Tamandua tetradactyla: one gene and its partners. The main gene of each other region encodes a partner of the protein of the gene in region 2 in a complex. Links are inferred from orthologs where the notes say so. Each region holds a gene or a part of one and is shown on either strand. Other genes may lie near its edges.

What was found. Proteins that work in one complex are often made in the same cells at the same time.
Region 1: the proteins of tubulin alpha-1B chain (region 2) and MATCAP1 are in contact, whole or in part, in a cryo-EM structure (PDB 7Z6S), measured with the Homo sapiens proteins. The link is inferred for Tamandua tetradactyla from reciprocal best matches to the Homo sapiens genes TUBA1B and MATCAP1. Residues at the interface, in NP_006073.2 of Homo sapiens: Asp345, Trp346, Arg422, Glu423, Ala426, Ala427, Glu429, Lys430, Asp431, Glu433, Glu434, Val435, Gly436, Val437, Asp438, Ser439, Val440, Glu441; in NP_001035805.1 of Homo sapiens: Lys219, Cys220, Trp223, Val226, Arg227, Gly237, Glu238, Val239, Val240, Val241, Gln242, Leu243, Met253, Met254, Val255, Glu256, Asn257, Ser258, Arg259, Pro260, Thr261.
Region 3: the proteins of tubulin alpha-1B chain (region 2) and CAMSAP1 are in contact, whole or in part, in a cryo-EM structure (PDB 6QUS), measured with the Homo sapiens proteins. The link is inferred for Tamandua tetradactyla from reciprocal best matches to the Homo sapiens genes TUBA1B and CAMSAP1. Residues at the interface, in NP_006073.2 of Homo sapiens: Lys112, Glu113, Asp116, Val409, Gly410, Glu411, Gly412, Glu415; in NP_056262.3 of Homo sapiens: Ser1471, Ser1472, Lys1473, Lys1557, Ile1568, Pro1569, Ala1570, Ser1574, Val1575, Ser1576.

What each region holds. Positions count from the first base shown.
Region 1 is NC_135342.1:60,877,066-60,884,360, reverse strand, and holds the start of MATCAP1 (microtubule-associated tyrosine carboxypeptidase 1), read left to right. Parts: upstream 1-4,287; 5' UTR 4,288-4,444; intron 4,445-4,551; exon of another isoform or gene 4,552-4,937; intron 4,938-4,943; exon of another isoform or gene 4,944-5,062; intron 5,063-5,274; exon of another isoform or gene 5,275-5,388; intron 5,389-6,189; 5' UTR 6,190-6,365; intron 6,366-7,040; 5' UTR 7,041-7,096; coding exon 7,097-7,295. Other genes in the region: EXOC3L1 (exocyst complex component 3-like protein), read left to right, coding at 431-1,043, 1,123-1,240, 1,368-1,493, 1,594-1,694, 1,905-2,015, 2,759-2,888, 3,005-3,127, 3,211-3,366 and 2 more. UniProt on the Homo sapiens protein: Tyrosine carboxypeptidase that removes the C-terminal tyrosine residue of alpha-tubulin, thereby regulating microtubule dynamics and function. Also able to remove the C-terminal phenylalanine residue of alpha-tubulin TUBA8.
Region 2 is NC_135333.1:110,001,176-110,008,600, reverse strand, and holds the start of tubulin alpha-1B chain, read left to right. Parts: upstream 1-4,407; 5' UTR 4,408-4,539; coding exon 4,540-4,542; intron 4,543-5,811; coding exon 5,812-6,034; intron 6,035-6,173; coding exon 6,174-6,322; intron 6,323-6,652; coding exon 6,653-7,425. UniProt on the Homo sapiens protein: Tubulin is the major constituent of microtubules, protein filaments consisting of alpha- and beta-tubulin heterodimers. Microtubules grow by the addition of GTP-tubulin dimers to the microtubule end, where a stabilizing cap forms.
Region 3 is NC_135328.1:125,414,080-125,421,026, forward strand, and holds the start of CAMSAP1 (calmodulin-regulated spectrin-associated protein 1), read right to left. Parts: upstream 3,009-6,947; 5' UTR 2,922-3,008; intron 2,665-2,921; coding exon 2,502-2,664; intron 1-2,501. UniProt on the Homo sapiens protein: Key microtubule-organizing protein that specifically binds the minus-end of non-centrosomal microtubules and regulates their dynamics and organization. Specifically recognizes growing microtubule minus-ends and stabilizes microtubules.

The sequences.
Region 1 (7,295 bases), on a different chromosome or scaffold from region 2:
GGGCTGGGGCACTAGGTGGGGATCACATGGAGGGACACACCAGGAACCTCCCAGGGTTCAAATGACATGTGAAGCATATGTAATTCAGTTCATCCTGGGTTTTCCAAGCATGGGTTGTCTGAATTAGGACTGATACACAGGCACCCTGGTTACAGTGAACTATTTTCCTAACAGGGTGGGTGAAAAGCCATTTGTGTGGTCCCTAACTTCTTCTGGAATCCCTGACTTCCTCTTGTTCCATCAGCCCAAGGGTCCACACATGGTCCACCAGGCTTCTAGAATTTCACTTGTGCCCTTCCAATGGGCCAGTGTTCCACCGTACTGATTATTAACATTTACATATCACCCCAGCCCAGGTCTCCTCACCTGCTGCACCTGTTGCACAGGTATTAACTCTGAGACCAGGGCTGTCTCCTGTGTTCTTCATTAGTGCCTGCTGCAGTGACCCACACACAGTCCCTGATTGATGCCCAGCAACTCCTCGAGGCATATGTGAGCCTGCGGGAGCTGGAGCAGCTGAGAGAGGAGACCTGGGCACACCTAGGGGACCTGGAGTTGCCAGATCTTGAGGGGCTAGGCCCTCTGGCTGAGGCACTGGGCCAGGCTGTGGAGATGGTTGCAGGAACTGCAGGACAGCTGGCCCGGGAGGACCCTGCCCTGCTGGTGGCTGCTGTGCGCGTGGCTGAGGTGGAGACTAGACGCACAACTGCCTTGGGGCAGGCCCCCCGGAACTGGCGGCAGCGCTGTCTGCAGGCTCTACAGGACGGCCTGGAGCGGGTCCACTTTGGGACACATCTACTGCCTGGGCCAGGTGCCCTAGCAGAGTGGCTGGAGGCTCTGCAGGTGGCACTGCCAGCCGAGTTGGCCACAGCTGAGGCATTAGTAGCACCCTGCTGCCCACCGCACTACAAGGTGGTCCAGCTATGGGCTCATACCCTGCACAGAGGCCTGCGTCGCAGCCTGCAGCAGGTCCTTGCAGGGCCTGAGCTGGGTGCTGCTGACGCCTTCACCCTTCTGCATTGGGCCCTGCATGTGTACCTGGGGTCAGTGCCCTGAGGGCAGCGGGAAGTGGGTGGATTGGAGACTGGGGACTCATTATGACCCCCAGCTACCCATCTTCAGGCCAGAAATGATGGGGAGTCTGGAGTTAGGGCCAGAGGCTGATGTGTCTCAGCTGGAGCCCCTACTGTCCCTGGAGGATGTGGAGTGGCTGGAGACAACGTTTGTGGCCAAAGTCCAGGTGAGTGGTTGGGGCATGGGTCCAGAGCAGCCCTGATCATTAGTTGTAGGTTTTTGTCTGTACAGTCACTGTCTCTGGCAAGGTCAGTGCGTTGCTACCTCCTGCTGCTTCTTACCCCTTTCCCCAGGCAAGTGTGGCCCAGTGGCTGCAGAAGGCACTGGATGGGGAGGTAGCCAAGTGGGGCCAGGAACAGGAGCCAGACATGGACCCATCCGGCTTCTACTACTCACCAATGCCAGCCATCGTGCTGCAGGTGGGTGGGGGGTGGCCAGGCAGGTGGACAGCCCAGATGGGGAAAGGGGAGGAGGGCAAGGCTATGGGCTTTGCTGATGGCTGCCCATCCCTCCCTGTAGATCCTGGATGAGAACATTCGTGTGACCAGTCTGGTCAGTGAGTCACTGCAGCGGCGGGTATACAGCATGGCACTGTCAGAACTGGGTGCATTCCTGAGGAGGTCTGCCAAGACACTGACCCACTCCCCACCCCCAACCCTGCATCCAGGGAAGACCAAAGGGGCTCATAGTGACATGACACACCAATAAGAAAGGGCACCTTCACACTGGGCCTTGGGTATCTTGGAGGTGGGGCAGGAGTGCCAGGGACTGGGGTCACTCTGGGACACCAGAATGATCACAGATACTGGAGCCACCTCTGCCCACTTCAGCTTCAGTGATGCTCTGATTCGATTCTCCCGAGACCATCTCAGGGGTGAAGCAATGGCCCCTCACTACGTGCCCTACCTACTGGCTGCCCTCAACCACCATTCAGCACTCAGGTACCAGGAGGTTTACACGGAAGACCACCTTCATCTCCTCTTCCCCAGCACCTTTTATGTATGTATCCAGCCCACGCTAGGCCAGTAGGGACTGTAAACTCACATAGCCTCAGGTTCCAATCCTAGCTCTGCTAATTAATAGCTGCAACCTTGGGCAAATTATCTAATCTCTTTGAATCTCAGTTTTCTCATTAGTACTATGTGGGTAATAATTAATGTTCTGAGAAGCACATGAGATAACAGATGTACCTACCACAGTGCCTGGCATAAAGTAGTGCTCAATTAATTATTTGTTCGACAAATATGTATCTAGGTCCAGCTCCGTGCCAGGTAATGTCTGGGATTACAGCTATGAACAAAGCAGAAAAATTCCCTTCCTGTTGGGTCTTATGCTCATTGTGGCGGATGGGTGAGCAGGGAGGTCAGACCAGTTAGTGATTTTTACCGGCTCTTGAGTTTAACTCCCTCCCCTTACGGATGAGAATCAGGAACCTAAAGACACGACTTGCCCAAGGTCACACCTCGAGTTAGAGGCAGGTCGGGTTGGGGCTGAGCCCCTTTGAGCTATCCTTCGCCACCACTCGCAGCCTCAGTTCAGGCCTCTGCCCTTCAGAAGTGCAGGGAGAAGCCGGTTCGCCTCCTCACACCACATACATGCGCCACTAGGTGGCGCCCGATTGGCTGGACAATCGGACCCTGCGGGCCTTGGCCTTGGTCCTGAAGCCTTATTTTTCGTCGGTCAGCTCCTCACTGCCGGCCCTGCAGCCCGACGGGGTGGCTTCAGGGGCCTTGGCACCTTTGGAAACCGCCCTGGACGAGTTGCAGAGGAGGATCTACCGCCTGGTGCTGGAGGTGCTGCTGGTGGAGCTCCAGGTGAGGCTTCAGTGGGGATGGAGGTGGGAGGTGAAGCACATGTTGGAGGGTCTCTGCGGGGAGTGCCGGATCTGGATCGTTCCCCCAGCCCCCCTGCGCCCCCTCCCCGCCCCCAGCCCCTGTTTGCGGGTCTGCCCTCGCGTCAGTGGCTGTCGAGCTCTGATCTACTGGACTCTATATGCGAGCGGACAGCGCTTTTCTGCCGGGATTTCTGGCGCGTGCGATGTCCTACCGTCCAGGTGCGGATGGAGGCGGGAAGGGGTGGGAGGCACGTCGCGGGTGAAAACGGCGACCTGAACTGGCCTGATCACCCTCCCGGCAGCTGCTGCTGGCCGAGGCCGAGCGCACCGTGGTGCTGCAGTATCTACACGCGCTAATGCAAGGCCGCCTAGTATGCCGCTACTCCGATGAGCGGACCCAGGCGGCCGAGCGCCTGCGACAAGATGCCGCCCAGCTTCAGGAGCTCTTCCTCGGTTTGGTGAGGGCGCGGGGTGGGGGGTCGGGGGAGAAGGGGGCGGGTGGGTGCATGGGGATCTCGGGTGGTTGGATGGGGGGCGGGTGCGAGACCCTACCCGACGTGCGCAGGGCCTGCAGGAGAACGCGCAGTGCACACCGGTGCTGCTCGCTCTGCGGGAGCTGCTGAACCTCCGCGACCCCACGCTGCTCAGCCTGGAAGTGGCAGGCTTGCGGCAACAATTTCCCGACGTGAGGTGCGAGCCTGAGGTGGGGAGGGAGGAGGAGCCGTGGAGGGACTAGTCTGACGCGCTTCCTTGGTGCCCCCGCAGCGAAGATCACATCTCCGCCCTCCTGGACCTACGCGGGGACGTGTCCCGAGAGCAGCGCCTGGCCGCCCTCAGCTCCCTGCAGGCCGGCCCGCCGCCCTCGCCCCTAGCTGGCCGCCACGCACTCTTCAGCCTCGTGGCCGCGCCTACGCCCGCGCAGTCCTCCTGCCTCCCGTCGGGGCCCTGTGCTTGATGCCCGGCGGCCCGCGGTATAAAGCCACAGCTCCCGCGCGCCTGGATCTATGTGTGCTGGGGAAGGGGGAAAGAATTAAAAGTGCCCGCGAAGGGTAAGGGGTCCACGCACATTGACACCTCTAAGGTATCCTGGCTCCTGACTGCGCCTCCACCTGTCCGAGCATCGACCCCGTGTGTGAAGTGTGTTCCCAAGTTCCCGAACCCTTGCCCCTCTGCGCGGACTACGCCCCCAATATCCCGTGCAGGGTCGGAGAGCCTCAGTAGCTTCCGCCCTGCAGAGGGCCGGGTCGCACCGGGAGCCCTGAAACAGCCCTAGCTCTCGCTGAGGGGGCGGACCTAGGAGGAATTCCCCGCCCATGGGCGTGGCCGATATGAGGGCACCGCCCCCTTGGCCTCGCTTTGCCCTGCGCCGGGCTGTGGTCTCGGGAGCGCGCCGCCAAGAAGGCTGACGTGAACCCGCGCGCCTTCGTGTAGGCAGGCGTGCGCCCGAGTGCGTGCGTTGCCGGCGTCGGCTCCCGCGGACTGGGCGGGCAGCTACCGGCATCGCAGAGCGGGAACGGCGGACAAAAGAGCTGACAGGTGGGGGGGCGCGGCACGCGACGGGACACCTCAGAGAGAGGACGAGTGGGCGCGCGACGCGGTCCTTCCTCATCTAGCACAGAACCCCTCCATTGTCCTCCGGCCCCGCCCTCCATTGGCCCCGCCCTTCACCCATCCGTCGCCATTTATTGGCTGCGGGTCACGCCCCTCCACGATCTCTACCCTTATTGGCCCTTCTTCCACGTTATCCTCTTCCCGGGTCTCATTGGTGCAGGCCACGCCCTCTCATTTGTCAGCAGATCCCGCCTTCGGTAATTGGAGGCTCCTCCCCCTTCCGTCCGTTCATTCATTCTGCATCTAATGTTGGGTGCTTGGGAAATGGGGGCGAATCAGACCCCTCCCTGCCCTTGGGGAATTCAGCGGATGGTGGGGAGACACGGACGCAGGCTCCGGCAGTGACAGTCCGAGGCGGTGGAGAAGCCCGCTTAGGCACTGGGGAACCTCTAGACGCCGGGAAGGCTCCCGGATGGAGGTGAGGCCTGAACTGAGCCCTGAAGGATGGTTAGGAGTTTGCTCCAGGGAGACATTGGGAGGGCGTTCCTGGTGGAAGGACCTCAGACATGAAAGAAACAGGTGTATGCTGGTGATTGCAAGGAGGTAGGTTAAATGAAAGAAGGGGACATGGAGAGGACTGCTCCAGATATGGGGGGGGGGGGGGCGTGTCCAGTAAAGTGCCCAGTTAGTTGAAGGTGGTAAGTTGAAGCCTTTTCAAGTAGCTGGTCACTAGGCTGTGGGTGTGGGTATGGATGACATACTGAGGGGGACAATTAGGCTTGATGGAACAAGGTACAGGGGAAGAAATTATTCTGAGAAAGAGAAGGACTCCTGAGTTGCTTTATTGAGCAACCCCTCTGGGTCAGGCACTGCTCTGGGTTCTGAGGACACAGCTGGGTTCTGAGTGAACACTGGAGACGAGGAAACAGGTAACTATCAAACACATGTCCTTCAGATGATGATAACCGCTACGGAGAAAAATAAGGCAGGGAAGAGGAGACAATGGTAGAGGAAGGAGGAAAGTTACTATTTTATAGGGGGTGTGTTCAGGAAGGCTTTTCTAATAACGATAATTTGTGTGAAGATGTGAAGAAAGTGAAGGAGTGACCCAGGCACTTGAAGTGGGGAAAGCATTCCAGGAAGGGGACTTGTTCGGTTTGAGAAGCCCGTGATATAGTCAAGTGAAGATGTTGCATTGAAAACTGGCAACACTGGTTTGAAGTTTATGGAAGAAGTCTGGGCTGATGTATTTTAAAGCCATGAGAGTGGAGGAGGTCACAGGGGGAGTGAGTATAAATGGGGGAGAGGAGAGAAAAGTTTCCATATACAATTCTGGGGTCCTTACTGTGTTAGGAGGTCGGAAAGATAGGGATGAACCAGCAAGGGAGACCAAGGAGAAAGAGCCAATGAAGTAGGAGGAGAACCAAGTTAAAGTGTTCCGGAAGCCAAGTAAACAAAGTGTTTCTAGGAGGAAGTGATTACCTGTATCAGGTATTGCTGCTGAATATGAACACCATTGGTGACCTTGATCAGATCAACCTGCACAGAGAGTGGGGGACAGTAAAAGCTTAATTGGAGCATATGTAAGAGAGAACAGGAAAGAAGGAACTGGACAGAGTGTGGACAGCTCTTGAGGAGTTGTGTTGCAATGAGGAGCAGTTGGAGGGACATTCAGTGGGCAAAGCTGGAGAAGTGTGGGGCCAAATGAGGGTTTTGTTTTATCTTTTAAGATGGAGAAATAACAGCATATGTTTATACTGATGGAAATAATCCAGTAGAAAGGAAGAAATTGATGATGTAGGAGAAAGAAATGCTGGCAGGCAAAAGATTGGCTCAGAGGCTGGAGCCTTCAGTCAGTCTCTGGGGAGAGACTGGATTGGACTGAGTCCTGGCACAGAGTCAAGGGGTGAGTGTCCCCACATTGGCCTTGGATGATCCCTGGGAAGATGCCTCAGGGGGGTGAACTTCAGATAGAGGGGCAGGCCAGGGAGTGGCTGGGATTTGCTGAAATTTCCTCCCACCTCCCCAAAAGCTGATTCTAATTTGGACTTAAAGAGATGGTCCAGAGGAGAGAGGGCATTCCAGGTGGAGGGGCTAGCATAAGCAAAGGCCACTCAGGCAAGCACGGGATGGATGGGAGGAGGTGGGCGGAGCCAGGTGGGAGGGGAGAGGTGGGGCTGAGAAGATGCCATAAGCCCTGAGGCAGCTGAGGCCCTTCACCAGCCATCCATCCACGCAGCTCAGGCTGCACCATACCAGCTTCCAGACATGGTGGGTGCTGAGGAGCCATTAGAACCATGAGTAGGGAGACAGTCCTGCCTGCAGGAGCTCACAGACTGAGGGGATTCCAGTAACCACCATCTGGGTTGGTGTACAAGACCATTCCTCCTGCTTTCCCCTAGCTCAGCCTGCTTGGATGGGCCTGCAGGAGGGGAGGGATGCTGGGCTGAGGGTGGGGGACAGTCACTCAGACCCCTGGCAGCAGGCCCTGAGCGCAGCAAGATAGTGCAGAGCACAGGGCCTGCTGGTCCTCAGGCCACACCACTCACACTGGCCTTTACACGCCCTTCTGTGTCCCCAGAGGTCAACAGTGAGGGGAGTTGGAGTGACATAGCTGAATGTGACCCCCAGGACAGAATGGTGCTGGACTCAGAGACCCAAGTGTTTGAGCGGGCACCCCCCAGCCCACCTGCCAGTCCCCTGTCCCTGCGCAACAGCTTGAAGCATTCAGACCGAGATGGGCCACCGCTGTACCCCTGGCCTCGGTCCCTGGCCTTGCCCCTGGCTCTGTCAGTCTCCTCAGCCGTGCAGCACCGGCCTGAGCTGCAGCCTCTCT
Region 2 (7,425 bases):
CTACATTTTCTCCCTAGATGATTTCATCTAGTCTCTTTAGTGATGATCCCTATGTTTATCTCCAGCATGACTTCTTCTCTGCATTTAGTCGACTGCCTAAAAAGCATCTCTACTCGCTTCTCTAACACACAGCATCTCAATACACCCAAAATTCATTTTTTTGTTCTCTCCATCCCCTCATACCTGTTCCTCTACAGCACTTTTCAAGGCAAAAATCTTGGAGACATGGACTCCTCTCTTTCTTACTCATTCCATATCCAACCCATTAATAAATCCTGTCAGCTCTACCTTCAAAAGTATCTTGAAACCCACCACTTTTTATTACCTCCACTACTACCACCCTGGTCTAAGCCACCATCATCTCTTATCTGCACTACTATAAGTCATCATCATTTCTTATGTATACCCTTATATAAGTCATCTTCCTCCTTTCTCCTATAGTTTATTCACACAGTAACTAATTCTAAAATGTAAGATAGATGATGCCATACCTTTGCTCAAAACCATCTAATCTCTTCCCATCATTTTTAGAATAAAGCACAAAGTCTTTCCATTGCCATTAAGACCTTTACATGATCTATCCTGATACTTCTCTCATTTCATTTCATATAACACTGTCCCCTTCACTTACTCTGCTCTGGTCTCACTGACCTTCTTGATATTTCTTTAAAAAGACAAGCACACTCAACCTCAGAGCCTTTGCACTTGATGCCATTCCCTCTGCTTTAAATGTCTACTACATCACTTTATTCAGGTTTTATCACTTTATTCAAGTCTTTGCTCAAATAACTGCCTCCTTAGAGAGGCTTTCCCAGAGCACCCTATATAAAATTGCACTCCTCTGTAACTCTCATCTCTCTCCCATACTTTTTTTTATGGTACCTAATCACCACTACCTAACATCATAATTCATACCTCTTTGCTATATGTTCATTTTCTTTATTCTTCATTAGAATATAAACTCCATGAGGGCAAAGACTTATTTTGTTCACTACCATACCTATCCAACACTTAAAAGGCTGTCAATAAATATTTGTCCAACAAATTAATAACAATAGAAGCTATATTGTTTTCTATATACCATGAATGCTTTCCAGTCTTTACCCTACTTAAGATTTCTGCAGCACCTTCTTGAAACTCTCTCTTTCCTTGGATTGTTAGACCCCCAGTTCTCCCACTCTAATCATTCCTTCTCATACTCCCTTTATGGGTTTCTTTTCTCTACTTTAAATGTGGCCATTCTTCAGAGTCCTCTACTAAGGCCAGGTTTCCTACTTTGAGGTTCTCTATTAAGGCCACCACTTTCTTAGAGCTACACATTCTCCCTGAATGCATCTCTATAATTTTCTTTCCATTTCCTTAAGATTTTAAATTGGATCCAGGCATTATATCCTCATGGGACACTTCTAAATCAGAAAGTAAGGAGAAGGAGTAAAATAAAAGGGTTTTCCTCAAGGGAGCATTCTCCTTTTATTAAGGAGAATCACTCTGAGAAACTCCCTAGAAGACTTCCCTTCATGTCCCCTTGGCCAGAACTGGGTCCAAAGGCAAAAGACACTGAGAAAGCAAGCGTCTGGCAAAGGTAACTGGATTGCCTGATTCATCCGCTGGGACTGAGCACATGAATGCCCTTTAATAAAATTAGGATTCTACCTGGTAAAACAGAATGGGAGAAGGTGGTTTAGGAAGGGCTACCAAGATTGACTTTCACAAAAATAGATATATTTTTGCCCTCTAGTTATGAGAGAAACTTTAAAGAAATAAATGCATAAACAAGATAATTTCAGATTCTATAAGAATTGTAAAATAATAGGATGATATGATAAAGAGTAGTGGGTATATTTTGATACAAAGCTGACATAATTTACTAATAACCTTGAATGTCACAGTATAAGAAAAAGAAAGATGATTTCAAGCTACTATTGATTTCCATTCACAAATGAAGTTCAAGAAAGTTAATTAAGGGCCTAAAGTCACACCATTACTAACCAGCAAAGTCAGAATTTAATACAGTCATATCTTAAATTAAAACCCATATTCTTTTCCTATCCCATCTATCTGTGGAAAAAGCAGAACACAAAATGCATATATATATTGATAACACTGGAAATAAATAAGAATGAAAGGCCAAATATTGTGAAGAACAGTTGTTAAATTGTTGCTATTTGTTATTGTTGTATTTCCCTTTAAAGCTAGTTAAATGAACAAAATATTTTGTGAACTCCTGTGTTTAACCACAATAGGGAACAAAAATAGTTACTGACTCATTAGAACAGTAGCAAATGGCCATGATATTATGTAGCAAAGATGGAAATGGCTCGGATTGCAACAAAGGGTTTCCCACTACATAAAAGTTTAAAAGCAAATAGTTAGGGCTCCAAAAGACTCCAACAAAACAAAGACCTACATAATCAATTAAAAGGTAAGTGATGGATAATAACATGTTCATGCTCCAGTCATTATGTGGTTATTAAATATGGACAAGGTGTATTCATGCATATATAATATAAATAAATAGATCCATATAGGTTTAGTATGTAAAAAAGAAAAAAATGTCAGGTTTTTCTTTCAGGCACTAAAAAGCTATGAAAATAAATTAATTTAGTACCATTCAATGTTTTTCTGGCATTGAGAAACCAGACTTGATTATGTTTAAAGGTCCATTTTGGCTATATTTCTCTGTGAAGCCTGAGCTTTCATTAGGGACCTAAAAAAAATCTAAAATACTTCCTTATCCACAACAGGGGAATACACAGATAACAAGGCTAGCAAAGCTAATGGTTTTAGGACGGTATCTGGGGAGACTTATAGGCCCACAGGAGCAAATTTCTGCAGTAAAAGCTCTGATATTCTGCAGAGAGCTAGGACGAGGGTGGTGCCTGCTTTCAAATGGCTTTCATCCAGAGCAGTTGTCAAAATGGAGTTTAGCTGGGTGGTTCCCCAGCAGTCATTCTTCCAGTCAAAGCAAACTATTTTCTGTATCCTTTTAAGAATAAGGAAGAAAGGGAGGAAGGAATGCCTTAGAGCAATACCCAAATATATTCCTGTCCCCTCTAAGCCAGTTTGGAAAATGTGTACAAATTTGGATTCTGAGTCAAAAACCTTTTAATATGGCTATGAAAAACATTTACCAGAAATAAATGAGAACCTTCTTGTTTGTGTGCCAGGCTCATATGGGTGAATATATACATTAATATCCTTACAAAATATACACAAGTGAATTTGTCTGAAACGAAGGGTGGAGGCTTTACCAAATCTGAATGAGGTGATAACTGAGTATGAACTAGGACTTTTTATTGCCTTCTGTTTTACCTTTTTGTTACTGATCATTGGAGGATTCTTTGAATAGCTCATCTAACAACAACTACAGTACTAGCACTGTACTAGTTGTACTAGTACGATTTTAAAGCCACACCTTAACCCTAACCACCTTCTGAATTTCCAAGGGTTAATAATATAGTTCATGGTCTTGGAATAGTTTCTCCTAAAAAAACAAAACAGAATAACAACAAAAAAACCAGTCCATTCGTTTCTCAAGCTCTAATCAACTGATCTATCTTGAGGTAACATGAAGCAGTCTTATTTACAAAACTCTAAAAAGCATAAAATATCCCTACTTCCTCTTATCCTTCATTGTCAGACAATTTCCTCTACACCCAAGTTTTTGTCCTACTTCCTCAATTCAGCTTTCAAAAGTGAAACGTGTCTTTAAATCTCCTTTTTTAAATGCTCCTAGACTGCTCCATAAAGGTGGTGGCTTTAAGTTTGAAAATGGGCCCTATTCTACCCTTTTAACAGCATCAGTATTCAATCCTTATGTACCATTCTTCGAATCACCGAAATTGTATTCGCTTCGAGTCTTTGGTGCCCTTAGTTTAAAAAACAAGCCGCTACAGTAAATCAAATAAATCTATTACGTTTCCTAAACCTCGCGTCCTCTCCATTATCAAGTAAACATAGAATGCTCTGCCTCTAAAGGAACTAAGAAAAAAGCAAACTCACTGACAAACTGGTAACATGGAAATAATCAGCTAAGCTATCCGGATCGGAAGTTTCCGCATTTTATAACGCATGATTTTGAAAATTGTATGGACTTCTCTTAGGAGGCATCCGAATTGAAGAAAGCCTCCCTTCTCATTCCCGTGCTGGCTCACTTCCTAGTCTGTGGCCGCCCCTCCCCCCCCCATCCTCCGCCTGGGCCCTGGCAGCCATGCGCCACAGACTGCAGCACTCGGACTCGCGGTCCGCAGGCGCCGAGGACTCCGCCGGGTGGGGCCTGTGAGGGGAGGAGGCACCCGACTCGGACTCCGCCCCTGCGGCGGCAGCGCCGGGTGCCGAGTGGGCGCGCTGGGCCGGAGGAGGGGCCCGCGGCCGCAGTACCGCCCATGCCCGCCTCCCTCCCTGCGCAGCTACTTAAGCGGCTCCGGCGCACTCCCCCTCCCTCAGTGCGTTACTTACCTCGACTCTTAGCTTGTCGGGGACGGTAACCGGGACCCGGTGACTCCTCCTGTCGTCTTTGCCTTCGAACCCGTAGCCACCATGGTAAGTGAGCCGCGCACGGCGCCGCTCTCCCTCGAAAAAAAGAGGAAAATCGAGCTGGGAAGACAGGGAGGCCCTCTAGCTACCGAAAGGGTGGGGACCAACGCCGGATATACCAAAAGAAAAAAGCAAGGCGTTAGAGTGACGGTGAAGTAGATGAAAACACGGTTTGTAGAGGTCGGTTGGAACCGGGGAAGAGGAGCCGCCCAGTTTTCTCGAATTTTGCGAGCGGATGGCCGGGCGCGGGCTCTCCTGTGGTTGGGTTGTTTTTCAGTCTCTAACGCCTAGGCGCGGCGTCTCGGCTCCAGTTCAAGACGCAGCCATCTTTTCCCGCGCGCCCTCATACCCCATTTCTTCCCCCGCCTTTGGCGGGCGCGCGCCGGGTCTCCTCGCCCTCAGTTCTCAGCGCCAAAAGCGGGGGCGGGAAAGAGACAAAGGCGCACGCGCGACCGTTACTTTCCCGCCAGTGAGCGGCGGGAAACAGCCGCTGAGATTCGCGCGCGTGCGCACTGGGGTGGAGTAGGAACCGAGGTTTTGCGGCTGGAGGGCGTGTCTCCTTTACTTTAGCTGAGAACAATTCCATGTCCGTGGAGCGGGGTTCTTAGTGTACTATATTACTCCAGTGCAGTAGGAAACTGCATTCTGTAGGGCCCACCTGCCCCTCCCTAGCTTTCCTGCTATGTTAGGAATGCCTGTGGTAACAGGTGGTGGCCATGAGGGATTTTGAGGGAACAGAAATTGGATCTTAGTCCGGATCTGGGCTGATGATAATCCCCTGACAGATGTGGAAGTGCTGGGCTAAGCCCAACGCCCGCGGAAAGGGGAAGATGGGTGGTTACATAGCCATTGCGGGCCTCTGCAGCTGCGCGGCCCCTGCTGCCGCACGGGGGCGCGGAATTGCGCACCCAAAATTGCTCATTCATCCTGAGCCGCAGAGCCCCGCCCATCATCCCTCCTGCAGCACATTTCCTCTGCACTACTCTGGCTACGTATTTCCTGCACTGGGAGCTATCGGGAAATCTGGCCACCTAGCTTGAAGTGGAAGCTTGGTGCCTGGGCGCTAGACCGATGACCTCCTATTCTTTATGGTACAAAAGAAGGAGCTGTGACTAAGCTCTCTTGGTCTGGAAAAGGGTCTTCTCAAATAAGGGGCTGGCTGTTAAAATAATGTAGATTAAAAAATATAACCCTTCTCACCTACAAACAAGAATTTATTATACAAGAAACTTGTAAAGACTAATCAATTCTGATTTTTTCCCCCCCTTTCCACAGCGTGAGTGCATCTCTATCCACGTCGGCCAGGCTGGTGTCCAGATTGGCAATGCCTGCTGGGAGCTCTACTGCCTGGAACACGGCATCCAGCCCGATGGCCAGATGCCAAGTGACAAGACCATTGGCGGAGGAGATGACTCCTTCAACACCTTCTTCAGTGAGACAGGCGCCGGCAAGCATGTGCCCAGGGCAGTGTTTGTAGATCTGGAACCCACAGTCATTGGTGAGTGGAACTCAGTAACCTGAGTGAGATTGCAGGAGTCTGGGACAGGTCTGTTCTGGGGGCTCCATTTATGCCCCCAAGGTTAAGTAGGCTTGTGCAGGTTGTTAGTAATGGGTGGTGCTTTGTTTTCCTTTTCCAGATGAAGTCCGCACTGGCACCTACCGCCAGCTCTTCCACCCTGAGCAGCTCATCACAGGCAAGGAAGATGCTGCCAATAACTATGCCCGCGGGCACTACACCATTGGCAAGGAGATCATTGACCTTGTCTTGGACAGAATTCGCAAACTGGTAAATACCATATGTAAATATATTTTCAGTGGGATGGGAGGATTCTGTTGCAAATTTGAAAGACAAAATACAGCATTCATTCTTTGAAAAGGATGGTCACTATATATTAATTGGGTTTCTAAACCAGATAGTCCCTGGGTTTTGGGCACCACTCTGGGTTGTGTGTATCCTGCCAATTTCTCATGTTTGATCAGTAGAGAGCATTAGATTGATGGCTATATATTTTTATATTGTGATTTAAAATTTAAACCATGTTTTTGAATTTTAAAATAATGCTGAAATACTAAGAAAATGTGACCTGGTGTTGATTTTTTCTTTCTTTTCCTATAGGCCGACCAGTGCACAGGTCTTCAGGGCTTCTTGGTTTTCCACAGCTTTGGTGGGGGAACCGGTTCTGGGTTCACCTCCCTGCTGATGGAACGTCTCTCTGTCGATTACGGCAAGAAGTCCAAATTGGAGTTCTCCATTTACCCAGCCCCTCAGGTCTCCACGGCTGTAGTTGAGCCCTACAACTCCATCCTCACCACCCACACCACCCTAGAGCACTCAGATTGTGCCTTCATGGTAGACAATGAGGCCATCTATGACATCTGTCGTAGAAACCTTGATATTGAGCGCCCAACCTACACCAATCTTAATCGCCTTATTAGCCAGATCGTGTCCTCCATCACTGCTTCCCTCAGGTTTGATGGTGCCCTGAATGTGGATCTGACAGAATTCCAGACCAACCTGGTTCCCTATCCCCGCATCCACTTTCCTCTGGCCACATATGCCCCCGTCATCTCTGCTGAGAAAGCCTACCATGAACAGCTTTCTGTAGCAGAGATTACCAATGCTTGCTTTGAGCCAGCCAACCAGATGGTGAAATGTGACCCTCGCCACGGTAAGTACATGGCTTGCTGCCTGCTGTACCGTGGTGATGTGGTTCCCAAAGATGTCAATGCTGCCATTGCCACCATCAAGACCAAGCGCAGCATCCAGTTTGTGGATTGGTGTCCCACTGGCTTCAAGGTTGGCATTAATTACCAGCCTCCCACTGTGGTACCTGGTGGTGACCTGGCCAAGGTCCAGCGAGCTGTGTGCATGCTGAGCAACACCACAGC
Region 3 (6,947 bases), on a different chromosome or scaffold from region 2:
TTACTACCAGGGAAAACCCAGACACTGTATCAAAAATTAGGGACACCCAAATCAATAGGCCAAACCCTTGATCTTGAGGCTTGCTCTTGTGAAGCTCATGTATGCAGCAAAGAAGCATAGCCTACCTATATGTATGCCTAAGTGCCACTTCCCCAAGGACCTCTTTTGTTGCTCAGATGTGACCTCTTTCGCTTGCTCTCTAAGCCCAATTCTGTAAGTGAAACCACTGCCTCCCCACTACATTGGACATGACATCCAGGGATGAAAGTCTCCCTAGCAGCATGGGAGATGACCCCCAGGGATGAGTCTGGCTCGGGTACCAAGGGATCAACAATGTCATCCTGACGAAAAGGGGGAAAAGAAGTGCAACAAACTCTCTCAGTGGCTGAGAGAGTTCAAATAGAGTCAAGAGGCTACTCTGGAGGTCACTCTTACACAAGCTGCAGTTAGACACTGCTGCTATCATAACTTGCCAAACCCCAACCAAAACCATTCCTGCCAATCCTAAAGAATACTTAGGGCATATACGAGAATCTACAAAGGTTCTATGCACTAGGGCAACATTCCAGAAACCTACAATCTCCAGATGGGTCCCTGGACCAGATAAGTCCTGAAATGCAGAGAGGCCAGCCTCTCCAGAACATCAACTAGTTCCATGCCCCTACCCTACATTATCAACAGCCCCTTCCAACATGAAAAAATTAGACTGGCCATAGCCCAAATACCCCTAAAGAGTGAGAGGAAGATCAAAGGTGATGTAGGAGTTATACAGAAAAGATAGGGTTTAAAAAATGAGTGTGAGTGCTGAATCAGCATACTGATATTTCTTTTAGTCTCCAGTACCTTAGAGCAGCTAGAAATAAAAACCTAAAATTGTGGAATTGTAACCCATATCAAATTCTGAAATCTGTTCTACAACTAATTGTTGCAATGTACTTTGAAATCTACTGCTTTGTGTTTATATGTTTTCTTTCACAAAAAGGAAAAAACAGAGAAAGAAAAGTATATTAAAGAAGATAGAATTTAAAAAATGAATATGACCGCTGAATCAGTATACTGATATTTCTTTTGATCTCCAGTGTCTTGGAGCAGCTAGAAGAAAAAAAGAAAAATCATGGAATTGTAACCCATACCAAACTTTAAAATCTGAGGTATAATTACTTGTGAAAATGTACCTGGAAATTTATTGCTTTTATGTATAAATATTTTTCACAATAAAAAAAAGTTTTAAAAAAAATACTAAAGCAATGGGTTTAATCCCTATAACCTACAAAACGTGTTTGTCCTTATGACTAATTCAAGTCTAGCTGTGACACAGGCTACCAGCTCCAACTGCTGAAACCCTGCCGCAAGGGAAATGCCTGTTCAGCAAGCTTTCAAAACTGGTCAACTAAACTCTTTTCTGAAAGGGTTCTCTCTCTTCTTTTAGGCTTTCATCAGAATAAAGGCAATGTTTTCTTAGAATGCAAACTTTAAATTAAACGCAGGATTACACAAATACCCTTAATTTTGTACCAAAAACAAAGCACCTGAAGTTATTCCATAAATTTGATTATAATTTAACTATGAGAAGCACTTGATTTGTAAAGCTCTGAGAGCATGAAATGACAGAGTCGTAATCCACTAAGAATATCAGGACCTTACAAACTGGACTCAATAACAAGGTCACCCAGTTCTCCAAAACTGGTATCAACCAAAGATGACCATTATGATTGCACACAATCCATTTAGAAAGTAATTTCCAGTTGGGGGATTCACAACTCATGTTTTCTAATTTAAGTACCAAATTCCGTCAGCGAATGGCTCCCGAATCAAGGGTTTGACGACTGATGCATGCCTTACCATCCTCTAGTGCCCCCCCCCCACCCGTGCAAGTCAGAGAAGCTTCTAGACCACAGCCCTGAGCACCCCCAACATCACCTGCCCTGCACTCCAGACGAAAGCCCCATGCCTTGCATGGCCGCTAAAGGTTCCAGGACATTCCTGAAACAGGAGCGCACCCAGGGAGTTGGAGAGCAGAGCTAGGGACCCCATGCTCTCCCCAGGCCACACCAAGGTGTACAGAGGACCAGGACATGGGAGGAGACACATTCGCACTGGCCCGCGCTAACCCGGCGCTGCCTCCAGAACCCGGTGTCGGCCTCGGAAGGTACCCATAGCCCAGGACGGTGCCCGTAGCGCGGGACGCTGTCCATCAGCCTCCGACGGTGCCTGTAGCCCGGGACGGTGAATGCCAGTCCCCGACGGTGCCACTCAGCCCCCATGCACGTAGCCCCGGATGGTGCCCATCAACCCTCTCCCCGCCAACTATGCCCGTCAGCACCGGACCGGGCCTGTCATTATTCCCCGACGGTGCCCGTCAGCCGAGGACCGGGCCTGTCATCCCTCGAGGAAGCCTGTCATCTCCAGACGGTGCCCGTCGCCACCGACGGCGCGGTCGGACTCGGCACAAAGGCCCGCCCCGCCCTTCCCGACCCCGGCCCGTCCCGGGCGCGGCCCACCTAGGCCATAGGCCTTGGCGCAGATCCACTGGAGGTTGGCGGCGATCTTGGCCCTGGCCGAGTCGTAGCGGTCCAGCGGCACGATGTCCACGGCACCGTCCGGCGGAGCCTCCATCTTCCTCCAGGCGCCCTCTCCCGCCGAGCAGCCCCCGGCGTCCACCATCTGCAGACAAAAAGGGCCGGGCTGCGGTGCGCGCGGCCTCCTCTCCCCCGACCCAGCCCGCGGCCGCAACAAAGGCCCGGCCGGCCGCGCCGCCCTCCCGGCGGGGCCCAGATGCAAGCGAGGAGGCCGCGCGCGCCGGTCCACCTGCCGGTCCGCACCGCCCTCCCAGCGGGGCCCAGGTGCAGGCGAGGAGGCCGCGCGCGCTGGTTCACCTGTCGGGCCCACCTGCCCGCCCGCCCGCGCCGCTCCGGCCTCACCTCAGAGCCGCCGCCGCCGCCGCCGCCGCCGCGGCTGCCTCATGCTGCAGGGCCGAGACCTGAGGCGCGGGCAGGGACAGGGCCCAGGCAGGCGGCGATGGCGGGCGGGCGCGCGGGCGGGCGGGGGCGCGGGCGCGGTCCCGGCGCTGCCAGGCGAGGACGGCGGCTCTGAAGGTTCGCGGACAACGGCGGGGAGCGCGCGCGACGCCGCGACGCCTGCGCAGGCGCAGTGGGCGCGGCTTCGACCCTCGCCCCGCCCCCTCCCGCCCCTTCCCGCAAGCGCTGAGGCTGCTAGCCGGGAGCCGGCTGGGGGTCGTGGCTGTGGACCGATTCCCGCGGAGCTCCCGGCGTTCCATTGTCTGCGCCCTGCCGCGCCCTCCCGGGAGTTGGGGATGTCCGGGCCAAGGCCGACCCCCAGCTGCCGCCGTCTGACGGGGCCGAGCCCGAGAGACCCCTGCGCTCCTGGAGGGCCTGGGCCGCCCCGGGGTACCGCGCGATCCCGGCCCCTTGCCGCGGGCCGACAGCAACCTCGGAATGCAGCGGCCCGGGTGGGCGGGAGCTCCTGGAGCCCGCTGTCCCCCACCCAGGAGCAGTCCCGAGACCCGCGCACCCTGGAGCAGAGCTTAAAACCCGAGAACCCTTCTCCCAAGAGCAGCGCTCCGAGCCCAGGCACCCACTACCCCGAAAGGCGGTCGGAGCTTGGGAATCCCTCTGAGCAGAGCTTGGAACCCAGGGACCCTACACACCGAGAGCAGCCCGAGACCCCTACATCCCCTGAGCACCCCTTGAAGCCAGGGACCCCCACCCCCCAAGTGCAGCGCTCGGAGCCCAGGCATCCTCCCACACCCGACGCAGCGCTTGGAACCTGACACCTCCCCTCCGGCGCAGCGCTTTGGACCCGAGGACCCCGCCCCGAGAGCGCTCTAGGCCCCTAGGTGCGCGGTCCAGAAGCGCCCTGAGCGGACCGGCCCACTGCCCACTCAGCCGGGCCATGGAGTGGGGAGCTTGGAACAAGGGACAAATATCGGCATCCTTCGAGGCCAGTGCAGAAGAGGCGCTGGCTGCGAACTAATAAAATCCGCACCCAAGGGCCCGTGTCAGGTTCCTAACTGTAATTACACTGACGCTGGGAGCCCTTGTATGCACATGGCCGTCTGCGTGGGCTCCAGAAACGCACACCTCAGTGTAAGGAGCCCTGACAGTGGGGCCGGCTTACCCTCAGCCTCCGGGTTGAGAATTCCACTAACCTCTCTTCACCACTTCTGAAGCATCTAAAGCTCAGAGGGCTCAGCCACTGTGCAAAAATACTACTCTTGTGCACAGGAGCATAGCAGTGAATGAAATCAATTCTCTGCCCTCCCTGTGGGGCTGGCATTCTAGTAAGGCGAGAAAACAGAATATATACTGCATTAAACAGTGGGAGCTATGGAGGGGAAATAAAAGGTGAAGGAGGAACGCGGAGGACAGGGTAGGGAAGGAAAACCTTAAGGGAGGCATCTCTGAGCAAAGAAGACCTGGAGTAAACGAGGGGCAGTGTGAGGATACCTGGGAAAGTGGAGCTTAGGCAAGGATGCAAAGCTCCTGAGTGGGAGTCTGCCTGGCATACGGAGGAGACCCCTGAAACTGGAACCCAACAGGGAGAAACCAGGAGGAAATGGGGTGGGGGTGGGGGGACTTGGTGGCGGCAGATCTCGCCCAGTGAGAACTTTGCCCTTTCCTTGGTGTTGGGGGATTAGGCAGGAGGGTTTCCGATGTGATGGACCCTTGACGAGGATCCTCTGGGTCCTGGGAGAAGAACATGTTGTAGGGAGGGCAAGAGTGAAGGCGAGGACCGGCTTGGGGGTGGGAGTTCAAATGCCTCAGGTCCAAGGTGGCCATACTGGGCCTGGGGTGGGCGCTGGATCTATGTTGGAGGGAGAGTTGTCGGGAGAGGTGGACAGCTTGGATGTGAGAAAAAGGTGTCCACAATGATTCCAAGGTTTTTTTTTATGTTGACTGTGTATCCTGCAAAATTGCTGAGCTCATTTATTAGTTCTAATGGTTTTTTCAGTGGATTAGGAGGAGTTTCTACATACAAGGGCAAGTCCTTTGCAAATAAAGATAGTTCACCTCTTCCTTTCCAATCTGGTTGCCTTTTTGTTTCATTTTCTTGCCTAATTGCTCTGGACAGAACCTCCAGGACAGTGCAGAATACAAGAAATGAAAGCACCTGTCTCTATCTTGGTTCTGAGCTCCGGAAAATCAGCTATTCCTTCACGATTAAGTATGATGTTAGCTTTGCATTATTCTTTTTTTTTTTTTTTGCAATGTATTTATTATTTTTTAAGTTACTTCATAAATATTTTAAATTTTTGTTTTTAATTCCTACTAGGATAAATATCAATAGATATAATCTACATAAACAAAAGCTCTCTGAGGGTCTCTATAATTGTATGTTTATTTCTTTGTGGGTTTAGGGGACATTACCTGATATAGGCTATCACAAGAGAAAAAGTTATTTGAAGTCGCCTTTCATATTTCTGCATTCTACCATGTTATTTTCCCATTAGTGTAAGTGCTAAAATAATTTTTTTTTTCATTTTATTTTAGGGAAGGAAAGAGGGAAGAAAAAGAAAGAGAGAAAAGAAGGGAGAGAGGAGGAGGAGAAGAAGGGGGAGGAGGGAGGGTCATGTGGTCAGGAGAGCACCACATTCCCCATATGTCCCCAAAATCTTTGTCCAGACCACACCAGAGCAAAATATCAGAGCAAGCTGCACCGACTTTCCACTTCTTGGCCTTGTTTTCAGAGGAACTCGTTCGGCTCACCTGGGCCCTGACATTGTCATCTTCACCTGAGTCACAATATCGAGATCAGACAGTATGTGTCCTTTTGTGTCTGGCTTATTTCACTCAGCATTATGTCCTCCAAGTCCATCCACGTTGTCATGGGCTTTGGGACCTCATTTGGTCTTACTGCTGCATAATATTCCATCATATGGAAATACTACATTTTGTTTATCCACTTTTCCGTTAATAGGCACTTGGATTGTTTCCATTTTTTGGCAATTGTGAACAGTGATGTTTGGCTATGAACATCAGTGTTCAAATGTCTGTTCATGTCACTGCCCTCAGCTCTTCTGGGTATATACCGACTATTGGTATTGCCGTGTCATAGGACAACTCAATATTTAGTTTTCTGAGGAATCACCAAACTGTCTTCCATAGTGGCTGCACCACTATACATTTGCAGCAGCAGTGAGTAAATGTTTCCATTTCTCCATATCCTCTCCAACATTTGTAGTTTCCTGTGTGTTCAATAGCAGGCATTTTTATAGGTGTGAGGTGGTATCTCGTAGTTTTAATTTGCATTTCCCTTGTAGCTAAGGAAGATGAGCATCTGTTCATGTGCTTTTTAGTCATCTGTATTTGCTCTTTGGAAAAATGCCTATTCGTATCTTTAGACCATTTTAGAATTGGTTATATTCTTTGGTTGTTAAGTTGTATGATCTCTTCATGTACGTGGGATATCAAACTTTTATCTGATGTATGGTTTCCAAATAATTTTTCCTATTGAGTTGGCTGCCTCTTCACCTTTTTGACAAAATCCTTTGAGTCCCAGAAGCTTTTGATTCTGAGGGGCTCCCATTTATCTATTTTATCTTTTGTTGCTTGTGCTTTGGGTGTGAAGTTCATGAAACTACCTCCTATTATTAGGATTTGAAGATGTTTCCCTATGTTTTCTCTTAACGTTTTATGGTACTGGCCCTTACATTTATGTCTTTGGTCCACTCAGAGTTAATTTTTATGTAAGGGTGTAAGACGTGCTGTACTGGTTTGAAAGGATTATGTACCCTAAAAAAGCCATGTTTTAATCCTGATCCATCTTGTGGAGGCAGCCATTTCTTTTAATCCCTATTCAGTACTTTAGATTGGAAGCTTGATTCGATTTATCTCCAGGGAGATGTGACACACCCAATTCTGCATATTAACCTTTGATGTAACTCCACCCATTCCAGGTGAGTCTTGATTAGTTTACTGGAATCCTTT